Sus scrofa: one gene and its partners. The protein of the gene in region 4 interacts with the protein of the main gene of each other region in a pairwise test. Links are inferred from orthologs where the notes say so. Each region holds a gene or a part of one and is shown on either strand. Other genes may lie near its edges.

The links.
Region 1: the proteins of CCDC102B (region 4) and WDYHV1 interact in binary tests that used the Homo sapiens proteins (3 or more experiments, as listed by UniProt). The two-hybrid records come from large-scale screens. The link is inferred for Sus scrofa from reciprocal best matches to the Homo sapiens genes CCDC102B and NTAQ1.
Region 2: the proteins of CCDC102B (region 4) and CCHCR1 interact in binary tests that used the Homo sapiens proteins (3 or more experiments, as listed by UniProt). The link is inferred for Sus scrofa from reciprocal best matches to the Homo sapiens genes CCDC102B and CCHCR1.
Region 3: the proteins of CCDC102B (region 4) and HMG20B interact in binary tests that used the Homo sapiens proteins (3 or more experiments, as listed by UniProt). The two-hybrid records come from large-scale screens. The link is inferred for Sus scrofa from reciprocal best matches to the Homo sapiens genes CCDC102B and HMG20B.
Region 5: the proteins of CCDC102B (region 4) and CCDC120 interact in binary tests that used the Homo sapiens proteins (3 or more experiments, as listed by UniProt). The link is inferred for Sus scrofa from reciprocal best matches to the Homo sapiens genes CCDC102B and CCDC120.
Region 6: the proteins of CCDC102B (region 4) and PSMA1 interact in binary tests that used the Homo sapiens proteins (3 or more experiments, as listed by UniProt). The two-hybrid records come from large-scale screens. The link is inferred for Sus scrofa from reciprocal best matches to the Homo sapiens genes CCDC102B and PSMA1.
Region 7: the proteins of CCDC102B (region 4) and MAGOHB interact in binary tests that used the Homo sapiens proteins (3 or more experiments, as listed by UniProt). The two-hybrid records come from large-scale screens. The link is inferred for Sus scrofa from reciprocal best matches to the Homo sapiens genes CCDC102B and MAGOHB.

The regions. Positions count from the first base shown.
Region 1 is NC_010446.5:15,981,598-15,985,720, forward strand, and holds part of WDYHV1 (protein N-terminal glutamine amidohydrolase), read right to left. Parts: intron 3,655-4,123; coding exon 3,530-3,654; intron 1-3,529. UniProt on the Homo sapiens protein: Mediates the side-chain deamidation of N-terminal glutamine residues to glutamate, an important step in N-end rule pathway of protein degradation.
Region 2 is NC_010449.5:23,547,720-23,551,842, forward strand, and holds part of CCHCR1 (coiled-coil alpha-helical rod protein 1), read right to left. Parts: intron 3,716-4,123; coding exon 3,552-3,715; intron 3,453-3,551; coding exon 3,317-3,452; intron 3,129-3,316; coding exon 3,018-3,128; intron 2,810-3,017; coding exon 2,660-2,809; intron 2,206-2,659; coding exon 2,095-2,205; intron 2,011-2,094; coding exon 1,904-2,010; intron 1-1,903. UniProt on the Homo sapiens protein: May be a regulator of keratinocyte proliferation or differentiation.
Region 3 is NC_010444.4:75,095,135-75,100,040, forward strand, and holds the start of HMG20B (SWI/SNF-related matrix-associated actin-dependent regulator of chromatin subfamily E member 1-related), read right to left. Parts: upstream 3,424-4,906; coding exon 3,056-3,423; coding exon of another isoform or gene 3,000-3,055; intron 2,548-2,999; coding exon 2,439-2,547; intron 1,938-2,438; coding exon 1,734-1,937; intron 1,021-1,733; coding exon 900-1,020; intron 571-899; coding exon 524-570; intron 244-523; coding exon 171-243; intron 1-170. UniProt on the Homo sapiens protein: Required for correct progression through G2 phase of the cell cycle and entry into mitosis. Required for RCOR1/CoREST mediated repression of neuronal specific gene promoters.
Region 4 is NC_010443.5:153,689,501-153,692,441, forward strand, and holds part of CCDC102B (coiled-coil domain-containing protein 102B), read right to left. Parts: intron 509-2,941; coding exon 401-508; 3' UTR 1-400. UniProt on the Homo sapiens protein: During interphase, forms fibers at the proximal ends of centrioles to maintain centrosome cohesion. During mitosis, dissociates from the centrosome following phosphorylation to allow centrosome separation. Contributes to CROCC/rootletin filament formation.
Region 5 is NC_010461.5:43,136,271-43,141,112, reverse strand, and holds the start of CCDC120 (coiled-coil domain-containing protein 120), read right to left. Parts: upstream 3,172-4,842; 5' UTR 3,123-3,171; intron 2,950-3,122; 5' UTR 2,908-2,949; coding exon 2,859-2,907; intron 2,712-2,858; coding exon 2,578-2,711; intron 1,122-2,577; coding exon 978-1,121; intron 573-977; coding exon 278-572; intron 1-277. UniProt on the Homo sapiens protein: Centriolar protein required for centriole subdistal appendage assembly and microtubule anchoring in interphase cells. Together with CCDC68, cooperate with subdistal appendage components ODF2, NIN and CEP170 for hierarchical subdistal appendage assembly.
Region 6 is NC_010444.4:44,742,725-44,746,847, reverse strand, and holds part of PSMA1 (proteasome subunit alpha type-1), read right to left. Parts: coding exon 4,123-4,123; intron 3,737-4,122; coding exon 3,633-3,736; intron 1-3,632. UniProt on the Homo sapiens protein: Component of the 20S core proteasome complex involved in the proteolytic degradation of most intracellular proteins. This complex plays numerous essential roles within the cell by associating with different regulatory particles.
Region 7 is NC_010447.5:61,424,155-61,428,795, forward strand, and holds the start of MAGOHB (protein mago nashi homolog 2), read left to right. Parts: upstream 1-1,544; 5' UTR 1,545-1,733; coding exon 1,734-1,827; intron 1,828-2,752; exon of another isoform or gene 2,753-2,809; intron 2,810-4,480; coding exon 4,481-4,539; intron 4,540-4,641. UniProt on the Homo sapiens protein: Required for pre-mRNA splicing as component of the spliceosome. Plays a redundant role with MAGOH in the exon junction complex and in the nonsense-mediated decay (NMD) pathway.

The DNA of each region.
Region 1 (4,123 bases), on a different chromosome or scaffold from region 4:
ATACAAAGTCACTGGAGTTCCTGTTGTGGCTCAGTGGGTTAAGAACCCGACTAGTATCCATGAAGATGTGGGTGTGATCCCTGACTTTGCTCAGTGGGTTAAGGATCTGGGGTGGCAGCAAGCTGCGATGCAGGTCGCAGATGTGGCTCAGATCTGGCTGTGGCTATGGCTATGGTGTAGGCTGGCAGCTACGGCTCCAATTCGACCCCTGGCCTGTGAACTTCCATATGTTGTGGGTATGGCCTTAAAAAGACCAAAAAAAAAAAAAAAATCACTGACCAGTACCCTTTGAAAGTATAAAAGTTATCAAAGAAAAAACAAAAAGTGTCACAGATTGAAGGAGAGTGAGGAGAGATGACAAATAAATGTAATATTCTGGGTTAGATTCTAAACCAAAAAAAAAGAAATTAGTGGGAAAAATTACAAAACTTATATAAGGTCTGTAAGTTAAGAGCACTGTGGCAATATTTTTGTATCAACTGTATTATTTTTTTGGTTTAGATAATTACACTATGGTTTTCTCAGATTCCCCTGGGATCTGACCAAAAGGTATAGAAAAACTGCAGTGTTTTATTTTTTAACCAATTCTCTAGTAGGCTAAAAATAAAGTTATTCAAAAATAAAAAATTAAATGAAAACCTGTAAAAATAAGCAAACTGCCAGTTTACTGGAGGCAACTGCCAATTTATAGGAATTCAGAGAACACAAAAGAGATACAATCACCAAAACCCACACCATTTTCTCCCAGACTCAGTTTCTCCAACATATAAATTACCAAAAAAAAAAAAAAAAAAGAGTTGGACTACGAATCTCTACATATCAAAAAGACTCTAAAGGGAGTTCCCGTCCTGGCGCAGTGAAAACGAATCCAACTATGAACCATGAGGTTCGGGTTCGATCCATGGCCTTGCTCAATGGGTTATGGATCCGGTGTTGCCATGAGCTGTGGTGTAGGTCGCAGATACAGCTTGGATCCCATGCTGCTGTGGCTGTGGCATAGGCCGGCAGCGACAGCTCCAATTTGATCCCTAGCCTGGGAACCTCCATATGCCACAGGTACAGCTCTAAAAAAGCAAAAAATGAAAAATAAAATAAATCCTGGAGTTCCCTGGTGGCTCAGCAGGTTAAGGATCCGGCATTGTCACTGCTGTGGCTTGGGTGGCCACTGTAACACAGGTTTGATCCCTGGCTCAGGAACTTGCACATGCAACCAAAAAAAACAAAAAAATTAAGTTGAGGGGGCCAGGGCAGCTAGATCTGGGGACAGTGTGAGAGAGGCGGGAACTACACAGAGAGCTGTCTGGAGACCTGCAGAGGCGCCTCAGCCCTTTACCCCCAAGTCTTTGGCTAAGGACTGATCTCACAAGTCCAGGAAAGAAGCAGCAGAAAGCAGTCTAACAACACCCCTCCAGCCCTCAGGCATTTGGGAGAATCCACAGAAAGGTCACTCGAGAGTGGGGAAGCTAAATCAGCAGCAGCCAAAGGCCACCTCGAACCCGCAGGAAACGGCCTACAAGCCAGCCTTGAAAGGACCCGCCTGACCCTCAGAAATTTAAGTGGGGCCAGAACCAAATCCAAGACTGTTTCTTAAAGTAACCCAAGATCTAGGAGCTGACAATGTGAAATGCACAAAATCCAGCAGCCAACCAAATATTAGGAGTCATACAAAGAAAACAGGAAAATACAACTCAAAACCAGGAGAGAAATCAGCAGACAAGGACCAGCGATTATAAATAGGCTCCATTTACTCAAAAGAGTAGTTAAACATGAGCACGACAAAGACCAAAAGGGGAGAGAGTAAATCAGCCCCAAATGGAGCATCTAGAAATGAAAAAACAAACACGTAAAATGGAAAAAAAAAAATGCACCGCAAAAGGATTTAAGATCAATGAATTTACAAGCAAAATAATTACTGAAAATGAAGCACATACAGAAAAAGTCTGAAAAAGATGAACAGAACATCACTGACCTAAGAGGAAAATGACACACTATCTAAACAACATATTTGAGGTGAAGTGTGATGTTTTCTTGAACCATTTTTTCTTTCCTAACCGTTTTTTCTTAAATAAAACCCTAACTAGCTGAAAGTAATTCCCCCTTAACCTAATTTCAAATATACTGCTTTGATAAAGACAGGGCTTGCAGTAATGCATGTCCCATACAAGAGAACACACAGTAAATTACGACATGAGAAACCAGTGTGTTTACCCCACACTTTGGAGCAGATTCCTTTGAGCTCCAATCTCAAGTTCAGGAGGCCTCTGATGAGCTAGCTACACGAGGGTGGGGGCAACTGACACCCGATCACAAGGTGCTACCGGACTTGGAGGCCTTCCAGCTGGGGAAGCAGGCTTGACCTGCCTGTGCGCCAGTCTGTATGGCAGGCAAGTGTGGAAAACAAAGCCTGCCTCTTGTGGTGAAGATTAAACCAAAATAAGATGCAAAGGGGCTGGCACCGAAGCCTCTCCCAAAACAGCACCTACTGGGTAGTAGCCATCAAACCCAAAGAAATGACTCACAGAGGACAGGGGCTGAGAAGGTGTTGTTTCCTGAAGGCCTACTACGCACCAAACTCTGCCTTAGAGCTGCCACAGGCCCTGTCAGCCTGGTGAGTGAGACTGAAGGCAAGATCCCTGAGGCCCCTTCCTGACCTCAGCTGTCCCAATTCTAACCCTGAGGTTGGGAACCCGGTTGGTGAGGCAAAATCAATTCCAATATAAATTTTTAAAATTATGAGAGCTTTTCACAGAGAGCCTCAAAAATCAGAGTTTGAATCCTCTTTCAGTCTTCACTCCCCTCAAACATGCCAAATATTTTTTTTACTCTCTTCACTGCTGAATTCCGAACACCACTGTCCTATTTTTCCGGCATCCTGTACAGCTTACAGAACAGTTTGACTCACACAGCCTCATCCATGTGAGAGGATGATTTCACCAATTAAAGGCAACGCTACCAATTACTTCCCATCATAAATAATGTTTCCAGCTTCAGGTGAGTGCCAAGCAACAGAAAGAGGTGAAGAACCCTTTATCCGCTTAAATCTGGAAGAATTACTATTTGGACTGATGCCTAAAAGCACATAAATGAGATGAGTGGGACGATAAAACCTGCTAGCTCTCACCTCCTTCTTAGGCAGCTTTTATTACAGAGCCAGTGAAATGACATTTCACACATTCCAAAGACGCGCTGGGATTTCCTCCCCATAACATGAAACCCTCCCGTGGCAAGATGCTTGTAGTCCCGCTGTTAAATGACTCGAACACGCAGACCTTCCGAAGCCCAATGTCCCAGCAATGGTGCCAGGGTTTGGGCCCTAACACCGTTCCTCTCCCATGAGTTCTGGTGCCCTCCAGTCCTGCTCTCCGTGCCTCGATTCCTAAATCCGATGAATACACAGAACGACACTCCCTCTTGCCTCCTTAGCTCTCCAGAGGTCTTACCCAAAGAACAATGTGCTTCCTGACCCTGGTTAAGGGAACGCGCTCATCTGCACAGTGACGGGAACCCCCTGGGGGCGGCCGTGGCTCACCTCCAGTCTCGATGCAGGGATAGGACGGAGGAGGTTCTCTCCAGTTCCCGCTGGAATCCTTCATGTGAGATCGGTCAGAAGCAAAGTTCTTCAAATACGAATCTGCACGGATCACTCGGAATTTCCTACACACAAACCAACATTCATTTTATATCACAGCTGAAATCCTAACTCAGCTCTTACATAGACCGTGTTCTATGACATGAACAAAACCACGCAGGCCTTTTTATACACTCTGTGATACAAAAACATACACATGCTGCTTTAATACCGGTTAAAGACAGCGTGAGAAATGATCAGCTGAAAACCCAAACTTCAAAGGCATGGAAATATATCTAGCTGCCTTTACTTTCCCAACTGTGTATCAGGGGCAAAGGGTAGTTTTCAGAGACTGCCATCACAGCGCTCTCCACGGTGGCATCATAAGGCATCCTACTCACCCACCCCACACCATCCCACCACACTCCCCCCAAAAATAAGAAAAGGACAGAGAGCCCCACAACAACTTTCAGAAAAATGTTTTGGATCTCATCACACAAATTTTTAAAAGACTGCCAACCTTTTACACAACGGACAACATTTAAAACTTTAAAA
Region 2 (4,123 bases), on a different chromosome or scaffold from region 4:
GTGGACTAATTGCTAGTAATTTAGGCATTTTTACCTGCAGGCCCCCGGATGCATCTCCAGAGTGTGGGACTGTCCTGGCACCATAAGCTACATTCAGGGTATATGAACTTATGTGCATTCTTCTTTGGACCAAAGCCCACAGCCCAAGAAGGCATTAAATGACTTTACATCTTTTTAAGCGAACTGCAAAGCTTATTCTCACAATCTGCTTTTTCTTTTTTCTTTTTTGTCTTTTTAGGGCCGCACCCACGGCATATGGAAGTTCCCAGGCTAGGGGTCAAATTGGAGCTATAGCCGCCAGCCTACACCACAGCCACAGCAACGCAGGATCCGAGCCGAGTCTGTGACCTACACTACAGCTCATGGCAACTGTGTCAAGGTCAGATCCTTGACCCACTGAGTGAGGCCAGGGATCGAACCCGAAACCTCATGGTTCCTAGTGGGATTCGTTTCCTCTGTGCCACGACAGGAACTCCTTCTTTTTCTTTTTTGTCCGCGCCAGTGGCACATGGAAGTTCCCAGGCGAGGGGATCAAACTCAAGCCACGGCAGTGACGAGGCGCAGATCCTCAACATCTAGGCCACCAGGGAACTCCTCACAATCTGCTTTTTGATCACTATTATGTATCAGAGATCAAAGTTATCCTCGCCAACCAATCCCTGATGCCAGCGAAGGCCAGGTCCATGTGCTTTATCAGCTGGCTGGACCCAAAGCAGCTGGGTGGCTCTTGAAAATCAAGAAGCCTAACCAGGGCCCCTGGGAGGAGGGCATCCCTAGCATCCAGCACTAGGTGGGGCTGGAACTCCCTAGGAGAGTGCAAGTCTGCGCCAACAGAAAAAGAAGCAGATGACAAAGGGTGAGGTTGTATCCCTAGCAGCACAGCAGACATCACTTTTATCTGGAAATTATTTGAGCAGGTGCTTCCAATACACTGTGGCTCTTATGAAACCCTTTTCCTGATAGCATCTCCAAGCCATCAAGAGACTAATAAATCTGGCAACAATCTGAGATTGGGTTGGGCGTGGTTTTTTTGTTTTTTTTTAGGGCCAAACATGTGGCATATGGAAGTTCCCAGGCTAGGGGTCGAATTGGAGCTGCAGCTGTTGGCCTTCGCCACAGCCACAGCAATGCCAGATCTGAGCCACGTCTGCAACCTACACCACAGCTCATGGCAACACCGGATCCTTGACTCACTGAGCAAGGTTAGGGATCGAACCCGCATCCTCATGGATACTAGTTGGGTTCGTTACCTGAGTCACAACGTCAGGAACCTCCTAAACCTTCAACTGGAAAAACAAACAACCAACGCCCCCCACCCCGGAACAGTTCTGAAGCCTCCTAGGCTCTATTTAGTTCAAGCTGTTACATGACTAACTGTAAGAGGAAGTAATAGCTCACTTCCAGTCAAACACACAATGATTGGGAATCATAACAAGTGACCCTGGTGTGACTGTGGGATGGGGTTACCCCTTAAGAATAAACAAACAGGTTTTAGGAGTTCCCATTGTGGCTTAGCAGCTAACTCTTCCAACTAGCATCCATGAAGATGCAGGTTCGATCGCTGACCTCGCTCAGTGGGTTAAGGATCTGGCATTTCCATCAGCTGTGGTGTAGGTCACAGACACGGCTCGGATCCCGAGTTGCTGTGGCTGTGGTGTACGCCAGCAGCTACAGCTCCTCCTGGACCCCTAGCCTGGGAATCTCCATATGCCGTGGGTGTGGACAGAAAAAGACAAAAAAAAACCAAAAAAAAACCAGGTTTTACAGGGCTAGATACCTCCAGCCCTGCATCCTCCACGTGGCCAGCTTTTTGGCCCCTCTTGCCCAAGGTTCTTGAACTCCAAAGCGCCCAGGAAGCCAGGGAAGCAGAAATGCCACTCTACCCACCCTCCACCCCAGACACCTGCTGACGGCATTGGCCACAAGCTTCAGCTGCTCCTCCGCCTCGGCCGTCTGCTGCTGCCTCCGGCGCCGGGCCTCCTGAGCGCGGCTCAGCTCTATCTGCAGGGCCTAGGAAGGAGGCAGTAAAGAGAAGGGTCCCCTTCCTGGGGTGTCCCTGCTCTCCCCTGGCCTCTGCCTGTCTCAGACGCTGACCTTGGCGCTCATCCGCTCCACCTCCACCTCCGCGGCTTTGTCTTGCAGGGAGCGCTCCAGGATGGCCCGTTCCTGGCCCTGGGTTTCAGCTCTTTCCTGGAGCTCTGCCACCTGGGGGAGGACAGGAGGCAGGTCTAGACCCAAAAGCTGTAGGGGGGACACTGGGAAGGGGTCAGGGGCAGAGGTCTCGGAAAGAAGGCCGCAGAGGGAGACAAAGCTTGGGTTCCTGAGACTGGAGTCTGAGTCGGGATTTCCCTCCAGAAACATGGTCCCTATACCCACACCCTGAGGAAGCGCCCTGTGACCCACCCACAAGGACCCATGGCCTCTGTTCATGCCGCCCACCCATCCTTGAATGCTGTCGCCTCCTCAGGTGACCATCCCACCTAAGGCCGGCCCACCTCACAAAAAGTAAACCCCACAAGAGCAGGTCCTTGTCGGCCTCTGCTCAGGGCGGTGCAGCCAGCATGTGAGAAGCATTCAGTAGGTATCTACTGAATAAATGCCAGCCCTAAGGAACAAAGAGCTGGGGGAGAAGACGGGGAGAAAGAGGGTACCAGGCCACCTGTCCCTTCAGCTGCTCCACGCATCCTCTGTGCTCCAGCTCCTGGGCCTTCAGCTGCACCATGAGGGCGAACACCTTCTCCCGCCAGCGCTTCAGCAGGGCCTGGCACTTCCTGGTGAACTCGGGCTCCAGGCAGTCTGAAGGCTGAACCTGCGGGTGGAGGAAGTGGCGGGGAGTGTGGGCTCCTGGGGAGCAGAGGAAGCGGGTGGGTTTTGTTTCTTCTGTCCTGCCTAGGCCATTGGCAGCCACAGCAAGAAAAGGCATTCAGGGGAAGACGATGCTGGCAGGTTCGGGGAGGGGCACGCCAACCCCTCCCATGCCTGGGGTTGGGGACAGGGCAAGGCACCCAGGGGCCTACCTTGCGGGCCAGCTCCTCCTCCTGTATGCAGAGGATGTGCGTGAGGCTCTGCACGCGCACCTGCAGCAGCTCAGCCGTGGTGTGCAGCCCGTCCCGGTCCTCCTGCAGCTGCTACAGTGGAGTGGGGGTAGGGGGAGGGCAGCCGCTCTGTTGGAGCTCCCAGAAGCCCTCAGGGATGGCCAGTCTGGGCCCCGGTCACGGCACTGCCTTCTCTCCCCGGGGGCTGTATTCTGCTCCAGCGGCCCCCTTGCCCAGGACCTGAGCCCTCATGTCCCACCCCATGCCCAGCACTCTCTCACCTGCACAGTTTCTAGAAGCTCCTGTCGCTCTGATTCCCACGTCTGGCTGTGGACCTCGGGAGGAACCTGCTCCCCCACATATCTCCTTAGGTTCTCAGCCAAGGTCACCTGAGCCTCCAAGGCCTCTTGGGTCTTGCTAGGGTTGGGGTGGGAGCAGGGTAGCCATCAGTGGGGCACCCTGGAGACCCACCCCACCCACCAACTGCTGGACCCCCTCGGCCACCTCCCTACTCACCTCAACTGCTGCCGCAGCAGCTCAGCCTCCCTCTGGGCCGCAGCCAGCTCCTTGGCTTCCTCTGACCTCCTGGTTTCCAGACTACTCAGAGATTTCTCCAGGCCCCCAGCCTTGTGAGTCAAACTGGAAAGAGCCTCCTGGTGAGCCTGTGTCAAGGAGGAGAGCTGTGGAGAGAAGGGGGCGCTCAGCAGGGCCTGCTGGCCCACAGCTGGCTTCCCAAGTCCTCCTCCCGCCTCAGTCCTGCCCCTCACCCCCACTTCCTATGACCTTGGATGACGACCCAAGAAATCACCCAACGGCACACGACTGAATGGAGACCGTCCTTAGCGCCTTACTCCCCCTCACCCCGGCAGGTCTCCCCCAAAACACTGTCACTCCTCTCCATATCCAGTGCCACCAACCTGAGGTTAAAAACCACCCTCATTTCTGGACAAGGACAACTGTCTCCTGACTGGTTTTTAAAAACCACCAGTGGTTTACCCAGACCAAAACCCAGCTTCTTCCCTGGGCCTGTGAAGCGTGTTGTGCCTTGGCCTCTGCCTGCTTCTCTGAGCTCACATCCTGTCCCTCCC
Region 3 (4,906 bases), on a different chromosome or scaffold from region 4:
AGAGCTGTGCCCATCAGCCAGACCTTCCTTCACTGCTCTGCCTCCAGCCCCACCTCAGCTCCCGGGGCGGGGGAGGAAGGCACCCGCCGCCTTCCACCTCTGCGCCCTCTTGGCCCATCCTCTCTCCCTCCCACAGCCTGCTCTCCTAAGAACCCCTGGTGAGCACTTACCTTTGTTTTGGTCCAAGAATTCTTCAGTGAAGATGGGGACGTCGAAGGTGGAAAAGCCGTCACAGTCCCCACCCTGGGACGACAGGACAAGGTAGCATTTTTCTGGGGTGGGGGGTGAGGGGCAGCCAAACCCCTTCTGGGTCATCCCCTAAGCTTGGAAGGGTCTCCTCAGGCCACCTGGGTTAGAGTCCATTTAAGAGCCTTCCCCCTGCGTGGCCGCGCAGCCTCCGCTTGCACACATGTGGACCGGGAGCTCACTTCATCCCATGAGCGTTGGTCCTCGCTCACCCAGGGGTCTAAATACCTCCAGACCTTTCCCACTCAGGTGTTCTCCTCGGAGGAGGGGAGCTCACCTTGTGTCCATTCAAAAGGGTATTCATGAGCCCGGAGCCGGAGTCTTCTGGTGGGGAAGGGAGGAGGGCGGGGTCAGCCTCCCAGGCCTCCTCTGAACCTATGCTTTGCTTTGCATGTGCTGTTCCCCCTGCTTGGAACACCACCATTCCCCTCCCCCAATCAGCCCTACTCCTCCTGGGTCAAGCTCGAAGCCTGGGCTCCCCAGTGTCTGTGTGTGTCCCATCTGAGCGCTGATCAGGCCTGTTCACTCACAACTGTCTGGTTATGTGGGTCTCATTCCCATTGGCCCGTGAAAGCCCCATGAAGGGGGAGGTCGGTCTGCCTGTGTCACCGGTTGCACAGCAGGCACTCAGCTGTGCCTGGGGCCCTTTGCACCTTTCTTGATCTTCTTTTCCTGTATCTTCTCCGTGCACATCTTGTAGGCTTCGGACTGCTGGTACGCTCTCAGCTCCTTCATGTACTGCTGCTTCTCCCGTTCGGCCTCATCCAGGTACCGCTAGCGGGAGCAGCAAGAGAAGGCTTGGCTCAGTCTACCCCATCTCCATCATTCAGCTCACTGTTCTGACCCTTCCCACAGCTCCCTACTGCCCTCCAGACAAAACCCACCCTCCAGGCTGCTACTCAGGCCACCTCCTGACTCCCTGAACTCACCTACTTCACCCCAATTCCAGCGTTTATAAACCACTCCTTGTGTCTGACTATCTGCAGGCTCCCACGTCCAGGCTGGACTGCCCTCCCAAACCCACTTTGCTTGTTGAAATCCCACGTAGAGGGTGCAAGCTGGTGTGTTTTGTTTTTTTGTTTCTCCTTGATATTTTTGCAATTTTAAAATTAATTGCCAGATTTAAAAATCAGGTTTCCATCGAAAATGCAGCCCCCACCCTTCTTCTTTAGTATAATGTAGTTTATTTATTTATTTTTGACCACGCAGGCAGCATGCAGAAGTTCCTGAGCTAGGGATTGAACCCACGCCACAGCGGTGACAACACTGGATCCTTGACCTGCTGAGCCACCAGGTAACTCCCACATTGTTTAAGGTTTACCTCTGTTCCTGCGTATGGCTACCCTTTAACAAGCCGGAGAGAGCTAATAGGTGGTCACTTCTCCAGGCGGAAGGAAGGACACTCCACACCCTTTCCTTTGGGGTAAGTGGCTGCGGGTGAGTGTCTGAGCGTATGGAGAGAGGTCAGTGGTCTCGGCAGTCCCCACCTGCTTCTCCGCTGGCTGCAGCTTGCTCCACTCCGCGCCCAGCATCTTGGTAATCTCGGGAAAAGGCAGGTCTGGGTGGCGAGTACGAATCTGCTCACGCCGCTCGTTCAGGAAGCGCACGTAGCCGGTGACCGGTGCCTTAGGCCCATTGGGTAGGATCTTCTTCCGCTTCTTGCCCTTGGGCCAGCCGCGCTTCTTCACCGGCTGCAGAACCCAACCGGGCCGTTGGGAGGGGGCCTGAAGGGCTGGGGCTGGGCCCAGAGAGGAAGGGGCATGGCCCTGGATGGGTCCTAGCCAGGAGGTGGGACCCAGAGGCCTGGAGGTATGGCCTGGACAGAGTTCAGGATTGGAAGAGTGAGGTGAGGAAAACCCTGGCCAGGGGTGAAGGGATCAAAGGGACTGGGGTCAGAGGATCAGCCCATGGATGCGGCAGGCTTGTGGTGTGGGCGTGGGCTCTGGGCGTGGGCGTGGTTTCTGTACTGGAGGCGATCTTCTGGCAGTGGGCGAAGCTGGCATTCGGCGATGGGCGGGGCCTGAGCTTAGAGTGGCAGGGGAGCTTCTGGTGGCGTGGTATTTGGCACTTGGGCGGGGTCTCAGCATCTTGAGGGAACTCTGGTCGGTGGGCGGAGCCACAGCGAATTCATATTGAACTCGGGGCGGAGCTTCAAGGCTAAGGGTCGCCGCCCCCAAAGTGCAGGGACTCACCTCCTCCTCGTGGGACCCCTTCTCTCCTGCCCGCGGGCCCTCGATGCGCTCTTGCTTGACAGCAACCACGAATCCCCCGTGCTGTCCTGGAGTCTTACCGCTCGCCGACCTGGAGACACGGGAAGCCAGGGTCACCCCACTCTCCAAACCCGAAGGCGGAGCTGGCAGCTCGAGGGCTGAGTCCTTAGAGGGGTTTGAGGTAATCAGGATTGGGGGTGGGGGGCTGAGACAGCAGGGGCACTACCGGAGCCACAGGGACCTGGGAGAGTCTGGAACCTAGGGATCATCCTCACTACCCCCCACCTCCGACGGTATCACTGGCAGCTAAGGGCCTGAATTCTGGAAACAGAGGTCTGAGGGGGTCAGGATCCGAGGATGGGGACCCCTTAAAGGCTAGAGCCCAGGAATTGGGAAAAGCTGGTGAGGGCCCGAGGGGGAGGGCCTGCTCCAGGTTGGGGGAGTCAAGACCGTGGGGGGCAGGGGTCGAAGAGCTCCTACGCGACCTGGGGGGCGCCCAGGCTGTAGCCCAGAGTGGGCTGGGGGAGGGGATGTCGCACTCACGCGGCAGCCGCGCCGGGCTGCTTGGGGCCGTGGGACATGGCCGCTCCCGGCCGCACCTGGAAAGCACAATCGTGGCCGAGTGAGGGTCTCTCGAGCAGCTGACGGCGGGGTCTGGCTGTGGAGCCCCGGAATGCCGGGGGGGGCAGGATCCGGGGACAGGGAGGCCCTCGAGGGCGGGCGCCCCAGGGATCCTTTGTTGGACGATCGCCCCCCAGGAGACCCAGGTCCGCAACCCCCGGCTCGGGAGGGGCCCCGCCCTGATCCTGGGACCCCCACGCCCCCCGCTCTCTCGCAGGGCCCCGACTTCTGCGGCTGTTTTCACCTCGAAAGAAACTTTCCCGGACCTCTCGGCTGCTGCGACGCTCCAACCAACCGCTCCAAGCCCGCCCCTGCCGCCTGCTCCGCCCCACCCCGCCCCCGGCATGCTAATAAAGGCTCGGCGAGCGGTCGGATTGGGTGTGCCCTACCCATGGGGCGTGGCCATGCAGATGAAGGTCGGCGCGCCCGTTGGTGATTGGCTGGGGCAGACGCTGAGCCGCGTGGGAGGTTAGTGGGAAAGGCTGCGGGCGGGTGCGTCAAGTTCGGCTGTGCTCGGCCCGCTCTCGGGACCAATCAGGATGCTTTGAGGCACCGCCGGGGCGGAGCCTCTTAAAGGGCCAGTAGATGCGGCAAGAATTTTTCCTTCGTACGTAAAGGGGAGACTCCACGCCCCTGCGGGATCCCGGGACCAGTGGGCTGTGTCGGGCTCGGCCCTAGTTGCCATGGGGCTGGCGGCAGGTTGCTAGGGAAGGGGTTGATCTTTGGGAGCAGCTCCTTTCCCCACGGCAAAGTGGGATATGTTCTTAGCAAACCTGGCGGGGAAGTTTCCCATTTATTGACTGGACTTGGAGCCGCGGTCGTGTCCTGCCTTGCTCTGAGCCGGAGGCCTCTGGATGCAGGGGCCTCAGCTTTTCCTTTTATGCAATAGGGGTTTTGTAGTGTCCAGGACCAGAAGGCTGCGAGGTTGAGACTGGGAGCTGGGCTGGAAGCATTTGGGGAAAGGTGGTGGGGACAGGAAGGCTGCAAGGACCTCATGAAGGTGGAGGGCTAGGAGACTCTGCCCCGGAATCTTGAGGAACCCCAGGCAGCAGCCCGATCTTCTCACAGCATGGACCGGGGTTGCCTCTGCGCCCAGAATGGTAGTTGTGGCCACTGGGTGTTCGTGATGGTTCATTAGAGTCTAAACAATCTGTCCAGATCACCTCCCTGCTCTCACCTCCCTTCACTTTTCCCCTCACTTTCTCCACACCAGCGACCTCGTTGTTCTTCACGTACATCCGTTTCATTCATTCCCTCCTCTGGACTTTTGCACTCGCTCTTCCTTCTACCTGGAGTGTCCCTCCCCGAGATTAAATGTCCCTCTTTTCAGTGATATTTTCCAAGGCTTGTACCCCACCCCATACACCAGTCTTATCTTTTCTCCATATGAGCTGCCTGTTTGCTCGTTGCTGTATTCCTAGCACCCAGAACAGTGCCCACAGGTGCTCTAATACATAGTCATTGAATAAACAATTGAATGAATCATGTAAATTTCTAACAAGCAAGAGCAGCTGCTTTGAAAAACAATCTGGCAGCTGGAAAAAAAAAGCAAAAGAAAACATGGAGTTACCATGCCATCCATCAATTGCACTCCTAGGGATATACCCAGGAGAATTAAAAACATACCTATATACAGAAACTTGCACATGAATGTTTTCAGCAGCCTGATGCTCACAATAGTGAAAAAGTGGAAGCAGCCCAAATATCTATCAGTTGGTTAATAGGGAAATAATGTGGTCCATCCATCCAATAGAATATTACTGGCCTTAAAACGAATAAATTGCTGATTCATGCTATGACGGGATAAGCCTTGAAAACATTAGGCTCAG
Region 4 (2,941 bases):
TTACTTTTTCTTATGTACAGTGATTCTCTTGTCTACTACCCAGCAAACTGTATAGTTTACAACTTATATTTTCCTTCAGACATTATAACTCTTTCAGTTCTAGGTGAAATATATTTTGAAAGCTCCTTCTGCCTTTCAGAAATTTGATATCTTTAGAGCTAAAGTTGTTTTTAAGTGATATTTAAATTATCTTTATCAAAACATGTAATGCTTATTGGGGAAAAATAATGAGCTAAGAAACCCATAAATTTAAGTATTGAATGTCTGTAAATTTCTTTCATTAATATTTCCCATTAACAGAAGTAATATATTATGGATATTTAAGAAAATAGGAAAAAAGGACCTCAAGTTTTCCTTATCTAAGATCCCAATCTTAAATTTGACACATTTTGTGAAATAACTACCAGGTTTGTAAGCGCCTTAGTTTAATTTCCAAGTTTTCATTTCTTCCTTGCTGTTCATCCAAAGATATCTGGAGCCTGTGGATCTGATTCAGAAAATCACCAAGCTGAAAGCAAAATAGAAAATGCTTCAGTTAAGATGATTGAAATAAAAAAAAATCCTTCTGAAAACAAGCTCTAGTTTTTGCATGATACACTCTTATGCAAGAGTTTATTTTGTATATGTGAATAAATATATGAGGATATTATAGAACTAGTCCATATAGTCAATAATAAAATAAACATCTGCATGGACTCTAGTATACTTGAGAAAATATTTCTATAGAGGTACTCTTCCCCTATTTCTATGCTTGGTTCCCACACCTATATGAGTCACTGTGCTGGAATTTATGATTATTCTCATGATTTTGAAAATATATAGTTTTATTTGCATGTGTGTACTATATATTTAAGTGTAGCATATACATGTGCCCATATATATATATACACACATATTTATATACATATGCATAAATAGTGTGTGTGTATTTCTACACAGATCCTTTAGCTGCTCTGAACATTCTTGTGCATGTCTTCTGATGCATATGTACAAAGTAGTCTCTGGAGACATATCTAGGAAGAGAATTGCCAGCTTATATTTTTTGATGTTTAATCATTTTGAGAGATATTTTGGCTTTATATTATAAAAATAATTTGCCTCCCAAAAGCAATTATATGAGAACCTGATTGGGCACATCTTTGCCAGTACTTGATGTTGTGAGATATTAAAATGTTTGCCAGTCCTTCATCAGTAAGTTATGTTTGATACCTCTTTTTATTTTCATTTGTTCAATGCTCTTGTTCTTTTGTGCCTATTCAGACCTCCTGCTCATTACTGTTGGGACCTTTTCCCTTTCTTTTTTATCTGTATGTGCTTATTTTATAATCTCAATACTAGCCATTTGTCAATTGTGTTTCAAGTGTCTTCAAGCATTAATGAGTTTATAACTTATTTTTCCATTACTTAGGAGATCTTTAGATGGTTATTTTATTAAATTTATTTTCTTTTATGATTAGCATGTATTTAATAATGGTAAAAATTACTTCCCTACTCAAAGTTTAGAGAAATATCAACCTGTATTTTTAACTAAAACTTGTCAATTTTGTATTTTTCATTTAAATCCTAGACCAAGCTGAATTTTTGCACATGATGTGAGGTAAATATCCAAGTTTATTTTTCTATATAGAAACACATTTTATTAGGTGTTTAATTAAGTGGCCAAGTCATTCAGCCTGAGTGGACATTCTATGGGGTAGGTTTAGATAGTCTCATCGGTTTCTCTTCCACAAAAAATTTCTAGCAACCGTGTTCCTCCAATTGAACATTTCAAAATTTTATGGATATTTTCATGCCTTTGCAGCTTCAGGACAAAAATCTTGTCTCTCCAAGCAGACTGCTGAGCTATGGCACTAGAGTCAAATAAAGTTAATAGTTGTAGTATTTAATTACATTGTAAGGGTAATCAAATCTTTCTTACCATGTACTGACTCAAATTACTGCTAAATATGAAACCTGATCCCAATTCTCTGATGCCTTGGCCAGTGTTATTCAGGTTAAATCACTTTAAGCAAGAAAAGGAATTATATAGAGTTGAGTTGCTGTTATTATTTTCCAAGGGAAAAGCTATTTTTCCTCATACCCTCATGTGGTAATTATCATTCTCTAAGCTTTTTTCATCAATTACTTGTGCCCATGAGGTGAACATTGTTAAAATATATCAAAATTAACTCTCAGCTATTATCTTTTTTTTTTTTTTTTTTTTTTTTTGTCTTTGTGCTATTTCTTGGGCCGCTCCCGCGGCACATGGAGGTTCCCAGGCTAGGGGTCGAATTGGAGCTGTAGCCACCGGCCTACGCCAGAGCCACAGCAACGCGGGATCCGAGCCGCTTCTGCAACCTACACCACAGCTCATGGCAACGCCGGATCCTTAACCCACTGAGCAAGGGCAGGGACCGAACCCGCAACCTCATGGTTCCTAGTTAGATTCGTTAACCACTGCGCCACGACGGGAACTCTAGATATTATCTTTATTTTGTCAAACACCGAGACATTTTTAAAATGCATTTTTTGGACATGGACAATTCTCAAGTTTACATGTATACCTCATAGAATTACTTTTATATCCATAACCCAAGTTTGCTTTCTTACCATCAAAGTTCTTCCCTATCTAACCTGTGTAGGTTTTTGGTGGATTTGACTTGTCCTAGTTTCTACTTTATATGGATAAATGTTGAACCAGAATTTTTTTTTTTTTTTTTTTTACAAATCCTATATAATTTTTTCTGCATGTGTTTAGGTAGCATGTATTTGTTAATGTATTAGGCTTATGGTGCATTTTAAACAGCATATTTTACCTGAAGTTAGTTATTCAAATCAATATATAGAATGTATAGAATGTTATCTATTTTGTTACATAAATGTTACAGAAGTCTTTAATAGAGTACAAATATATCCTATATGTTACTTAAAAGTTCTTATACAATTAGTAAGCTAAGCATAC
Region 5 (4,842 bases), on a different chromosome or scaffold from region 4:
CCCTGCACACTTCCCAGAAATCCACTTTCCACTAAATCCAAGACCCCAGAGGCTTGGTCCCTCGCCATCCTGATGCCTGTTCCCGATTGCCGATTGCCCGATTGCCGGAGCCTTGCCAGGGAGTCAGTTTACCACAATTCGTCTCACTGGGAGGGTCCCTGAAGTTCGGCCTTCCTCCCACTTTGCCCTGGCCGCTCACCCACTCCACCCCTACCACGTCCCTGAGCTAAGGCCCACCCTCCCACTTTCACCAGTGGGATGACAGGGCCATGCTCACCTTGGCTGAGCTGGGCAAGGCGCGTGCCCAGGCAGACTCCCTGGGCGGTGATAACTGCCCCACTGGAGAGTGGCAGGGGCTGGGGTGGCTGGAGCCCTGGGAGGCCCAGGCGGGCCCGGACGTCCCCAAGCTGCTCCTCTAGCTCATGCAGCCTCCGCAGAGCATCTGCCTGCACCTGGCGCCGGCGCCGGCGCTGCTCAGTGCTCAGCTCGGGGGCCAAGGCCAGGCGGCGGGCAGCGGCGGCAATCTGCTGCTGCACTGACACCTCGCGCTCCAGGGCCTCAAGCGCCAGCTCCTGCGGGGCCCACCCAAGAGGATGGGATGGGACCAAATGTTGCAAATGGCCAAGCACAGGGACCAGGCAGTGACAGAGCAGCCCCCCCCCACAGCGCCAGCCCCCTGAAACGCTGGGGGCGGGGCCTGCCCTTGCTGGGGGCGGCCCATTCCCCCTGGAGGGGGTGGGCAGGGCCAGTGTTGAGTAGGGCTGGGCCTCTCCTTCATCTTCCTGGAGGTGAGTAGGGGCCAGCATCCTCTCTCAGACCTGGAACCCACCTCCCTCAGGCTCCTTCCCTTCTCACCTTACTTAGCCTCTCCTGGACACAAGCAACCCTGTCTCTGCTTCCTCTGGGCTCCTGTCCCACCTCCCCCCCACTCCCCTCACCCCCCCAACACGTTTTGCTCTGCAGGCCCATCTGCTCACCTCGGCAGGGCACAAGGAGTGCTGTGCTGGGTTGGGGTGCGGCGGCGGGGGGTAGGCTCGGGCTGCAGGAGGCCGCCGGCGGACCAGCTGGGGCCGTTCACCAGGCTCCAATGGGCACTCAGGGGGTAGCTGGCCAGTCAGCTCCTGGGTGGGGGCAGGAGCCAGAGACTACCAAGGGTTAGTTGGGGGGATGTGGCAAAGCAGTGATGACCCCTAAAGCTCCAGAAGTCCTACCAGGCGCCCAGCCCGGCTCAACACCCATGCTGGTTATTTCTCTTTTTCCTCCCAGTTCTCCAGCAGATGGGTGTGTGGCAGAGACACTCAGCAACTCAGTGGCCCAAACCCCTGGGGTGGTGGGCACGGGAGGCAGGGAGACCTGCTTTGGAATCCAGAATGTCTCTGTATAAAGGTGACACCATCTGTATACTGCATATTATATGACACTCCCTTCAGGGCCTGGGCTGCATGCTCTGAATTGCTTTATTATTTCTGGTAAACTGTAGGGACATTCACAGCCAGAGGGGTAAATTAGGAGTTCCCGCTGTGGAGCAACGGGATTGGCGGCATCTTGGGAGCACCAGGACGCAGGTTCGATCCATAGCCCAGCACAGTGGATTAAGGATCCTGCTGTTGCCGTGGCTGCGGCTTAGGCCACGGCAGCTCGGATTTGATCCCTGGCCCAGGAATTCCATATGCCGTCGGGGGTGGCCAAAAAAGGGAGGAAAAAAAAAAAAAAAAGAAGGGTAAACTGAAACTATAAATCACCCCATGTCAGGAGTTCCCGTCGTGGCGCAGCAGAAACGAATCCGACTGGGAACCATGAGGTTGCAGGTTTGATCCCTGGCCTCGCTCAGTGGGTTAAGGATCCCGCATTGCCATGAGCTGTGGTGTAGGTCGCTGGCACAGCTCGGATCTGGCGTTGCTGTGGCTGTGGTGTAGGCTGGCAGCTACAGCTCCAATTCAACCCCTAGCCTGGGAACCTCCATATGCCGCAGGTGTGGCCCTAAAAAAGAAAAAAAAAAATCACCCCCTGTCAGTTCAGGTCAGGTTTTAGTGCCATGTTTTGGAAATAACTTAGGGGTTTTTTTTGTTTTTGTTTTTAGGTGTTTTTGATTTCAAGTTGTTGACAGGGGATTGGTGGTAAACTATTACCACAGTTTATTATTTTTTTTTTTTGTCTTTTGTCTTTTGTCTCTTGTTGTTGTTGTTGTTGTTGTTGCTATTTCTTGGGCCGCTCCCGCGGCATATGGAGATTCCCAGGCTAGGGGTTGAATCGGAGCTGTAGCCACCGGCCTACACCAGAGCCACAGCAACGCGGGATCCGAGCCGCGTCTGCAACCTACACCACAGCTCACGGCAATGCCGGATCGTTAACCCACTGAGCAAGGGCAGGGACCGAACCCGCAACCTCATGGTTCCTAGTCGGATTCGTTAACCACTGCACCACGACGGGAACTCCACCACAGTTTATTGATTCTAAGACACCTAGGCTGAGTTTTGGGGAACCTGCAGCTCAGCCAAGCGGCTTGCCACCTCTGTCTGCCTACCTGGCCCCGACTCCTTACCCCCTCTCCCCACACCCATAGGGTCAGGCTCTCACCGCCTCCTGGAGACACACTTTCCGTAGCTCCTGAAGTTTCAGGCTCAGGGCCTCCTGCAGGGCCCGCTGCCGGTCAAGCAGCCCCCGCAGACGCTCTGACTTCACTTGGGGCGCGGCCTCTCCAAACAGGGCAGCTGGATACAGAGGGCGCAAAGGTCGGGGTGGGGGGGCAACCAGAGCATCCTGGAGCAGCTGTGGGGCCAGGGACCAACCCTCCCCCAGCGGGCAAGTGGGGACTCAGAGCAGGGGAGGAGGCAGCAGGAGGGGGCACGGACACCGACCTGAGGCATTGAAGGTGGGAGAGCTGATCAGCTGACCTTTGACTTCCATCCTGGTGCCGTCAAGAGGCCGTGGCTGATGGCTGGACAAGGCCTGGCAGTGATGCACAGGAGCCATGAAGGAAGCACATATTGCGTGTGTCCCCAGCCTCCACCCTGACCCAGGGCCTGGCACCCCAGCTGGGAAGAAGGGGTACCCCGAACCCACCCGCCTGCCTGGCCCAGCCTGCCCTCGCAGAATCTGGGTCAATGTCAAGGCCCTGGTACCTTGGTTCCCTTCCCATTGAGTGGGAGAACAGCAAGTGGGGAGCTGGGCGGACTTACAACGCCTCTTCAGAGGCCCATGGGCTGCAGTCAGGAGTCCTGCCTGGGAAGGGAGAATTAATGGTACAGAGTCAAACAACTGTAACAACAGGGGGCCTTTACTGAGCACCTGGGTGCCTGGAACAGTTACCTTCTACGCCACACTGACTCTTCTATGACCTCCCCGGGATGGCAGCTCCGGGACGACTGTCACCCCTATTTTAGAGATGAAGAGAGTAAGACACAGAGAGATGAAATGACCTGTGCACGCCTGAGGATGGACCCCGCCAGTTCAGCACCGTTCCTCATGAGAGGGGCCGAACCCCGCCAGTTTCTCATCAGCTCCCAGCCCATCAGGCCCTCCAGGCCTCTGTGCGGGCTGCGCTGCCGTCCAGAGGGCTCTTTGCGTCTCTCGCCACACCAGCCCCTGGCGCTCTCTTACATTCTGGGGCTTCGATGTCACTTCCAGAGGTGGGCTCCCACATTATGTCCCCTCACAGCTGCTGTCCAACAAGACTGTGCCTCCCTCGTACTTTTATGAGGACAGAAAACCCCTCTGTCCTTTTCTTTTCCCCCCTTTGGCCACGCCCCTGGCATGCAGCAGTTCCCAGGCCAGGGATGGAACCTGTGCCACAGCAGCGACCTGAGCCTCTGCAGTGATAACGCCGGATCCTTAACCTGCTGCGCCGCAAGGGAACTCTGCCTGCCCTTTTTTCATCAGTACCTCTGGCACTCAGAACACTTCTGTGCATACAGCAAGTGCTCAGTGAATGTCTGCTGAGTGAATAAAAGACTGGCTGTGGTCTGTGGGTCTCCACTTGTCCTAACTCCATCCTGTGGCCCTGGTGTGGCAGGGAGAGCGTTCACTTGGCCGTAGGACACCTCCAGCCCCACCCCGCACCCCAGCCAGTCCTGTTCCCAGCATAAGGAAGTCACCCTGCCGGGGCTGGGAGCGGCAAAGTCCACAGTGGCAGATAACAAGCCTCCTGCCTCCTTTTCTGCCCCAAGACGCCAGGACTGACCATGGAGCCTGCCTTGGCTGGCCGCCAGCCCTGCCCTCATCCCTTCCTCTGGAGTTTGCTCCCTCCCTCCTCCCAGAGCCTGCTCAGTCCCCAGCTGGGGAGCCAGGTGACATCACCTCCCACCACCTGGCCTGACCTCGGTGGCAGGAGATTGGGAGGAGATTGGGAGGACCTTGTGAGGCCACAGAGGTCCCATCCCCACCTACCTCGAAATCCCCAGCTTGTCAGGACATGGTGGCCAGGTGGGGAGAAGACCTAGGCAGCCACGAAGGCATGAGTTCAAGCCCCTCCCCCACATAAACACTGGGGGACGGGGCCCAGCTGCTAATAGGGTGCCAGCAGTCCTCCCACCCACCCCATGGGGGTCTGTGCCCCTCCTACAAAGGAGGGGTTCCCTCTTCTCAACATCAGGGGCAGAGTCTCTCCCTCAAGCCTTTTTGCGCGTCAACGTCCACGCAGTAGCGTGTGCTCTGCAGAAGCGCTCACATGCCCCCCGCTCCAAGGTCTGACATCACCTGCCGTGGCAGGGTTTCCATCAGGTCCCAGCTTAGCCTCCTCGGCCCCCGGATTCCTGGGGTTCTTTCTTCCCCAGCCCCTATTTGAGTTTGAGGAACTCTCCCAAGGCTCTCCTATACCTTCCTTCACCCCATCAGGAACCTCGA
Region 6 (4,123 bases), on a different chromosome or scaffold from region 4:
CTGCAATCTACATCACAGCTCACGGCAGTGCCAAATCCTTAACCCACTGTGTGAGGCCAGGGATCAAACACTCATCCTCATGGATGCAAGTCAGATTCGTTTCTGCTGTGCCACAACGGAAATTCCAAGGACGCATTTTTTTATACCAACTCTCCTTCTAAATTTTAAATGTTCTGTTTGAAAAGTGACTAATCTTAAAGTTTTCATAATCTCACGTTTATAATTAAATGTTTCTTAGCTATAGATAAGCTTTGTCTCACAGCACTTTATAGAATAGAGAAGGATAAGCAAGAGAAAAAGAACAATCTCTCTTCTTTTACCCTTGCCACTGTCAACAAGACTGTTCATTCAAAAGACTGTCTTGAACTAGCAAAAACAATACTTTTTTTCCTGAAAGCTGACAAAAAATTCCCCAATACAGCCAATACAAGAAATAGAATCCATTCCAAGGTATCTCTTAACATTAGCCTGCCAACATTACTTCTATCCAAAAGGAATACTTTAGAGGAGATATCAGACACCAGACTGTTGAGTCTCGCTGTTAAACTTGACAAGATTCAAGCAAGTATAACACTGAGGAAAAGGAGATTCATGTTTTACAATTAAAGCCAAGAGGATAAATAAGAAATAGGTACGCAGAGTTCCCACTGTGGCTCAGAGGGTTAAGAACCTGACTAGTATCCATGAGGATGTGGGTTTGATCCCTGGCCTCGCTCAGTGGGTTAAGGATCTGGCGTTGCCACAAGCTGTGGTATAGGTGGCAGATGTGGCTCGGATCCTGGGTTGTTGTGGCTCTGGTGTAGGCCAGCAGCTGCAGCTCGGAATCAGCTCCTAGCCTGGGCCCTTCCACATGCCACAGCTGTGGCCCTAAAAGAGAAAAAAAAAAAAAAAAAAGAAAAAAGAAACAGCTATGCATTTTTCTTTCATCTTGCTTTGTTTAGCTTACATGGATGTCACATCTGATGATCAAATGCTGGCTGCAGAAACCAAACTACTTGTTCACTACTTTAAGTTCACTTCCCAAGACTGTCTAAAACTGCACTGCCCTATAATATGGCAGGTACTAATTACATGTGACTAGTGAGCACTGAAAAAGTGGCTAGTCTGACTTGAGATATAACTATAAAATAAACATGAAATTTCAAAGACTTAATAAAAAAACAATGTAAACTATTTCATTAACAAAGTTTTTATGTTGATTACATATGACACAACAATACTTTGGAGAGATTGGGTTAAATAAAATGTCTGACAATGCGACATATTTTAAAACAGCTAAAAGAAACCAGTAATGCTATCACTATGTTGCTGACCTAAGAGAACAAGGAGCTTGCCAGACAACTTGAAAATTTTAAACATTAGCATTATTATTTACCCTTAGTGTTTATATTCTTTCTTTCCTAATTAAAATCACAGACTTAAGTGATTACTTTCCCCCTACTACCTCCCACACAACACCTGAAAGACACTGTGGGCCAAGAGGAAAATAAAGAACTCTTGGCTCTGGCTATTGCCAGGACTAGAGTGGCTGGTTCTAGCAGTGACACAGAGCTCAGAGTGGCTGAGACCCTGTGAGGTAATGACAGAGCCAGGGCAAATAGGAGGAGCAGGGGGTCTTTTCACTCCTGCCCAGGAAGCTGGTGGTGCAGGCCAGTAGATGTGACTGCCCACTAAGCGCAAAGCAGTAGCAATTAACAAAATCGAACATGCTAACAAGAGCACTTGGGTGGTACCAAGTGTGAGCCTTGGGAAGTTTGGGAAAGCCTCATCAAAACAACCAGGCGTCAATGACCAAAATCAATAGCAACAGGACTCTAGAACAACTGTAATCCAGGCCTCCTCCCAGGGGCCTCTATTTACATTCCCTATTTCTAAGGTGGAGGAGAAAGGGAAACAAAGTCTCCAGAACCACAAGTGGCAAACCAGCAGCACACCTGATGGTTTTCAATACTGGCTGAACACAATTACTGTGTTCCCAGCCCTGGGTGATGGAGGGGCAAGGGGCAGAGCGCGGCAGCCACTCACTCATGCCACAGCCTCAACCTCGGATTCCGATTTGCTCCAAGTTCCTCTGCAAAGACATCTCACAGGCCATTGAGAGCAGTGAGGGAAGAGTCTGGGTTCTGGCAGCGTTGAGTCCAACCACCAATCTACTCCACATCCCCAGGCAACACACTGAGTCGCATGCCTTAGGGTCCTATCATGGGCCATGCCCCCTCACGGTAGCTCTGTGATCACCGCAGGGGACTGATATACTGGGACTGTCAACTGTGCAGGTGCTATTTACAGGTATGAAATGATTATCATTTAGGCCTCATTCAATCCAATAAATGTTTACAAAGTTACAATAAGGGAAGATTTTAAGAACCAAAAAAAAAAAAAAAAAAGGACCCTTTGTCAAGTGCTCCACATGTTAGGCTATTTATCAATAAAATACTAAGAAAATTAGGAGTTTAAATAATTAGACCAATATCAGATACTAAGTGCTAAAAGTGGGAACTAGGAGTTTCCATTGTGGCTCAGCAGTAAGGAACCTGACTAGCATCAATGAGGATGCTGGTTCAATCCTTGGCCTTGCTCAGTGTGTTAAGGATCTGGCATTGCCATGAGTTGTGGGGTAGGTCACAGACAGATCTCAGATCTGGCATTGTTGTGGCTGTGGCTGTGGTGTAGGCCAGCAGCTGCAGCTCTGATGTGACCCCTAGCCTGGAAACTTCCATATACCTCAAATGCCACCCTAAAAAGCAAAAAAATAAAAATAAAATAAAAAACAAAGGAGTTCCCGTCATGGCTCAGAAGAAATGAATTTGACTAGCATCCATGGCGACTCAAGTTCAATCCCTGGCCTTGCTCAGTGGGTTAAGGATCCAGTGTTGCCATGAGCTGTGGCGTAGGTCGCAGATGCAGCTCAAATCTGGCATTACCATGGCTGTGTTGCAGGCTGGCGGTTTCAGCTTGATTCAACCCCTAGCCTGGGAACCTCCATATGCCATGGATTCGGCCCTAAAAAGTCAATAAAAACAATAAACAAATAAATAAAAGTGGAAACTAAAGTCTGTGTGATTCCAAAATGTCAGTTCTTCATTTACATAATGCCTCTCAAATAGAAATAATCTCTATCTGGTCCCATACAGAAGTATACCTGTTACTCTCCACTTTCTTCTGTGTATTAGACATAGAACTGATTCTAATTTCCTAGAAGATGAGATCTATATCTCATTCACTTTTTACACCCTGCAGCATCCAGTACTGAGCTTTGCAAAAAATAAACATCAAATAAATACTGGTGTATTAGAGAAAGCAAAGGTGGTTCATCTGATCCTCGCAAACCCAACAAAAGTGTCAAGCTCTTCTCAGACATAATATCAAACACTATACACTGAGTTAACAAGTATCACATCATTGAATGACTTCTCAAAGGCATTAATATTAGTATGGCTAATTCTATTAGTTACTACACAGAGGATCAAGAAATGGGATACTGAGTAACTGAGCCCAACTTCACTAAGGTATACACAATCTTCTAAACATTCTGGCAGAATAGAATACCTGTAAAACATCTGGATCTTTTCTAGAATATAATCAATTATGAATCAAGAGATGTTTCCTTTGTTTTTCATGATCATACTCACCATAACAGTCTAGCATCGGCAGTAAGTCCCGCAATTGAGATACCGATATGGTTATCAACATGGAGGATTTTTTTCTGATGAGCTGCAAGTTCTGATTGTGCCCTCTAAATAGACATTATTTAAGACAGAAAAACAAGTTTATAATTTATTATCTACATAGTGAGACTTACATTTGATAGTTGGGTTTTTTGTTGTTTTTTGTTTTGCTTTTTAGGGCCACACCTGCAGCATATAGAAGTTCCATGCTAGGGGCTGAATTGGAGCTGCAGCTGCTGGCCTACACCACAGCCACAGCATCAAAGGATCCTAGTTGTGTCTGTGACCTACACCTCAGCTCACAGCAATGCCGGATCCTTGACCCACTAAGTGAGGCTAGGGATCGAACCCACATCCTCATAGATACTAGTTGGATTTGTTACCGCTGAGCCACAATGGGAACTCCCAGTAGCTCTTTTTTAAAAGAGGAAGATATATTTATTGCTTTACTTACC
Region 7 (4,641 bases), on a different chromosome or scaffold from region 4:
TGACTGTTACTCTTTTTACTAAATCCCACTGAAGGCTAAAAGTCATTCAACAGGCAGGACCATTCTGTGTGATGGTAAAAGAAAGGTGATAATATTTGAAAAATAGGGTTTGTGTAAAGCTCACTTTGTCTTTCCTCATTCGTTGAAACTCACCCAGATAAGCATTCCTTCACTAATTGAATTTTAACTCTCCCATAAGAAACATGGGCTAAACCATTAAAATTGCCAAAACTCCAGAGGCCACCGAGGATAAACACTTATTCAACGAAATGTTTTACTATTTAAGAAACTCTTTTATACCATGATTGTCAGAGATTTTCAGTTTCAATGTACCTTTCATCAGGCCTCCTGTTTGATGGATTCTTTTTACTTTGCTTTTATTATTATTAACCTCTAGATGCTAGATAACTAGCAATTCTCGTCTGAAGAGGAAAGGCCTGTGTTAAGAATCCAGCAGGAGGAGTTCCCGTCGTTGCACAGTGGTTAACGAATCTGACTAGGAACCATGAGGTTGCGGGTTCGGCCCTGCCCTTGCTCAGTGGGTTAACGATCCCGAGTTGCCCTGAGCTGTGGTGTAGGTTGCAGACGCGGCTCGGATCCCGCGTTGCTGTGGCTCTGGCGTAGGCTGGTGGCTACAGCTCCGATTGGACCCCTAGCCTGGGAACCTCCATATGCCGTGGGAGTGGCCCAAGAAATAGCAAAAAGACTAAAAAAAAAAAAAAAAAAAAAAATCTAGCAGGAGAGCGGGCTGTACTTCAAATCTTGCCGTTCTAAGGTTGTATCTTTTTTTTTTAATTTCAGTAAAATCATGTTTTGTATCTTTTTTTTTTAATTTCAGTAAAATCATGTTTTGCTTTGAACATATATATTTTATATGTATGTGCATTTTAATTCCCACTTATTTAACATGTGTTTTGTAGTGATAATTTCGAATATTCACATTTTTCTTTCCTGTTATTACTTTGACAGTATGTTTTTACAGGACTTGACTACGATTTTCTCTAATGTCTTTACATTAATCTTTGATAGTGAAAGTACTTTGTAGCAAACTAACAGAGAAAAAATATGGGCTTTAGTGTTAGGCAGACGTAGACTTGAATCTTGGCTCTCAAAATTTTGTTGTTGTTGCTGGGCAATGACCCAATTATCCAAACTCTCAAAGCCTGTTTGCATTTGGTTTTTGGTCTGTAATAGGAAAATGTTGATACCTCACAGGCCTGCTGTGGATATTAAATGAAATAAAAAGCAGAGAAAGTAAACTTTAGTACCTTGTAGATGATAAACATGTAAGATGTTTGCTATTCCAGTTTTCAGGTTTAATCTTTATTCATCCCACTAAAAAAGGGGAATAAGGCCACACCCACTTCAAGGGATGCTCCTAGAATTAGAGACCCGACCAGAAAAGCCAGAGCGATTTGCAAACCTTAGCTCGAAACCCATAACAAATGCTTGCATATGCTCACACTGCTGTTCTTTCCTAATATAATATGACCTATCTAATTTTGAACATAACGTACTTTTCATTCTAATAAACCAAAGTCCACATCGCTGCTGCCCTCCCACGGCGTCGCCTAGTCTCTCTCGCGAGACTCCGCCCTCCGGTTTTCCTCTGGGGATGCGGGAGGCGGAATGGCCGCGCTCGCAGTGACGTGTTTATCCTGAGCGTCTGACGTCACTGCCAGGCGCCCTGTAGCACGTTGGCCGGGCCTTCGGCGGGCTTTTCGGGGACCAAGATGTCTATGGCCAGCGATTTCTACCTGCGCTACTACGTAGGACACAAGGGCAAGTTTGGACACGAGTTTCTGGAGTTCGAGTTTCGGCCGGACGGTGAGTTGAGCCGCTCCTGAGCGGTGCTGAGCTGGGGGAAGCGAGGCGGAGAGGCCGCGGAGGAGGCGGTGTGGGGAGGGCGAGCCTCCGCGGGCTTGGCGAGAGTGCGTTGGGGCTGAGGAGCTTAAGAATATCGGAGAGTATATTGGTTTTGTGAGTAAAAGGTAACTAATCGGTGTAAGTTATTTCAGAAAAGTCTATACTGCCAGATACTAAAATGGAACCTACAGTAATCAGAATCCTAGAATCTGCTCACCAGAAGGGACCTTAAAGGCCATCCAATTAATCGACCTAATACTCGAACGTTTTATGAGAACATCCCCGCCACGCGGTGGGCCTGTGGATGCTTAAATCTTGCGGTGAACAGTAACTTTCGAACTACCCATGCGTCCGTTTTATTCATTCATGCGCTGTATGTAAGGCAGCATGAATAGAAAAAAAAAAAATCTGCTGTTCAGAACTGGAAGCGGGACATGTAAAAGAAATGAGTGTAACGATGTATTCTGGGTGCTTAAATATAGTTGTTCCATGTAGCATGCGTTGAAACTCCAAAAACGGGGGAGTGGTTAGTTCTGGATGAAAGAGTCGGGTCATCTTTAGAGAAGGTGACAGTTGAGATGAGTCTCAAAATGAGAGTAGATATTGTCTTGGACGCTGAGGGAAAATAAAGGAGTCGGACTCCTGAGAGCTGCAGGAGCCGGTGAAAGTGCCTGCTGCCCAAGTAATGGCAGCAATTTACATCTTTTGACAGCTCTGATTCTCTTTAGATAGTTGTACTGTATATAGAACTCTTACTGTAACAAGAACAGTCTTGTTAAAAGCGGCATAGGCTTTTCTTTTTAGAGTGCATGTTATGTGCTGGGCAACATGTAAAAACAAAAATTGAGGTTATATTAATGCGTCGGGTTCTTTAATTCCCCTCAAGGAATTAAATCTTGCTGAGTGACACAAACGTGAAACTAATCATAAGGCAGTTCTGATGGTAAGTGCTGTGCTCATGCTTTGGACAAAGTTCTGTGAAAGCGCAAAAGAAAAATTAGGGGAGGATCACATATTAGAAAAATGAGAGAATATCAGATATTTTAGGTAGAAGTCAGGGTAGCTACATCTAATTATTTAGAAACCTTAATTACCTTAGTCTCCCTCATTCTACCCAAGTCTTTTCTAAATTTAGCTAAGGGGCCAGATTTACCTGAATTCTTCATCTGTATTTTTGGGTTTTTTTTGTTTTGTTTTGTTTTGTTTTTGTTTTTTTGTCTTTTTAGGGCCGAACCTGGCGTATGGAGGTTCCCAGGTAGGGGTCTAATCAGAGCCGTAGCCGCTGCCCTATGCCAGAGCCACAGCAACACCAGATCCTGGCCGCGTCTGCAACCTACGCCACAGCTCATGGCAACACGGGATCCTTAACCCACTGAGCAAGGCCAGGGATTGAACCCACAACCTCATGGCTCCTAGTCTGATTTGTTTCTGCTGCACCACGAAGGAAATGCCTTCATCTGTTCTTTATGTGATATTGTTTTCAGGACTTTTGCCTGTGAACAACTATCAGTGTGTCTGTATCACTTTTAGCCAGTCACATAAATTAGGTAGTCTAATATTATCAGGGAAATTTCATTCCAGGACAATAGCTCTCATCTGCCACCCCACCATTCCACATACTTCTGTCAGTAATAATGAGTCCTATAAACAATGATTCCTAAGGGACCTCATCAGGGTAACCTATCATTCTAGAGGATAAAGATCGCAGTACATCTTGGAGTTCCCCTCCTGGCTCAGCAGAATCAAATCTGACTGGTATCCATGTGGGTGCAGGATCAATCCTGGCCTCACTCAATGGGTTAAGGATCTGGCATTGCTGAGGCTGTGGTGTAGGCCAGAGGCTACAGCTCTGATTCGACCCTAGCGTGGGAATTCTGTATGCTGCAGATTCGGTCCTAAATAGACAAAAAAAAAAAAAAGTTAACAGTACACCTGTACCTGGGCAACTGACTGAGGAGAGGCATGCCTCAAGGAGTACACCTAAATTTGTATATATCAGCTAACAAAACGGCCAGTTTTATCCAGAAGCTGCACATAGTTGGTATTCTTCTTTACCATAGTTCTAAAATATTAGCATTGCCATAATACATACACACATTCATTTGAAGGAAAATAATTAAAAGAACAGTGGGGAAAGCATGAGTATTAAGAAGGTATATCTAGATTTGAATCTTGTGTGACCCTGGGCAAGTTATTTAACTCCCTGTTTTCTCAACTGTGAATAAAGAATAAAACCTACTTTTTATTTATTTTTTTTCAGATTAGGTTAAATGCTCTGGGTAAATAACTTAGCAAAAATAAGACATATAAACTTAGAAGAAATATTAGTTCCATTTTCAGATTCCCTGTTGAGATCGTGATATAGATTAAGAAAATGGGCCTTGAAAATGACCCTCCCATTGTATAATTATAATTGAAGGCATGAATTTAAAAAGTTGCCTGGCTTCAACTTAGCCAACATATATCCAGCATTAATCTTATGCTAGGAGGTAGGAAATATTAATACAAGTAATAGTATAAAATGGTTTCTACCTTCAAAATTGCTTATAGTGTCATTATTTTATTTTTTAGCAGTTTTTGCTATTTAGATTGAATTTTTTTCCACTCCCCACAGGAAAACTTAGATACGCCAACAACAGCAATTATAAAAATGATGTCATGATCAGAAAGGAGGTAAGTTCTTTTCAAATGTTTCATTTTTTTTTTTGCATTAAGCCCATTTTCCTCCTGTCTGTGTTTTTATTTACATATTTTAAAGTACATTAAAGGCTGTAA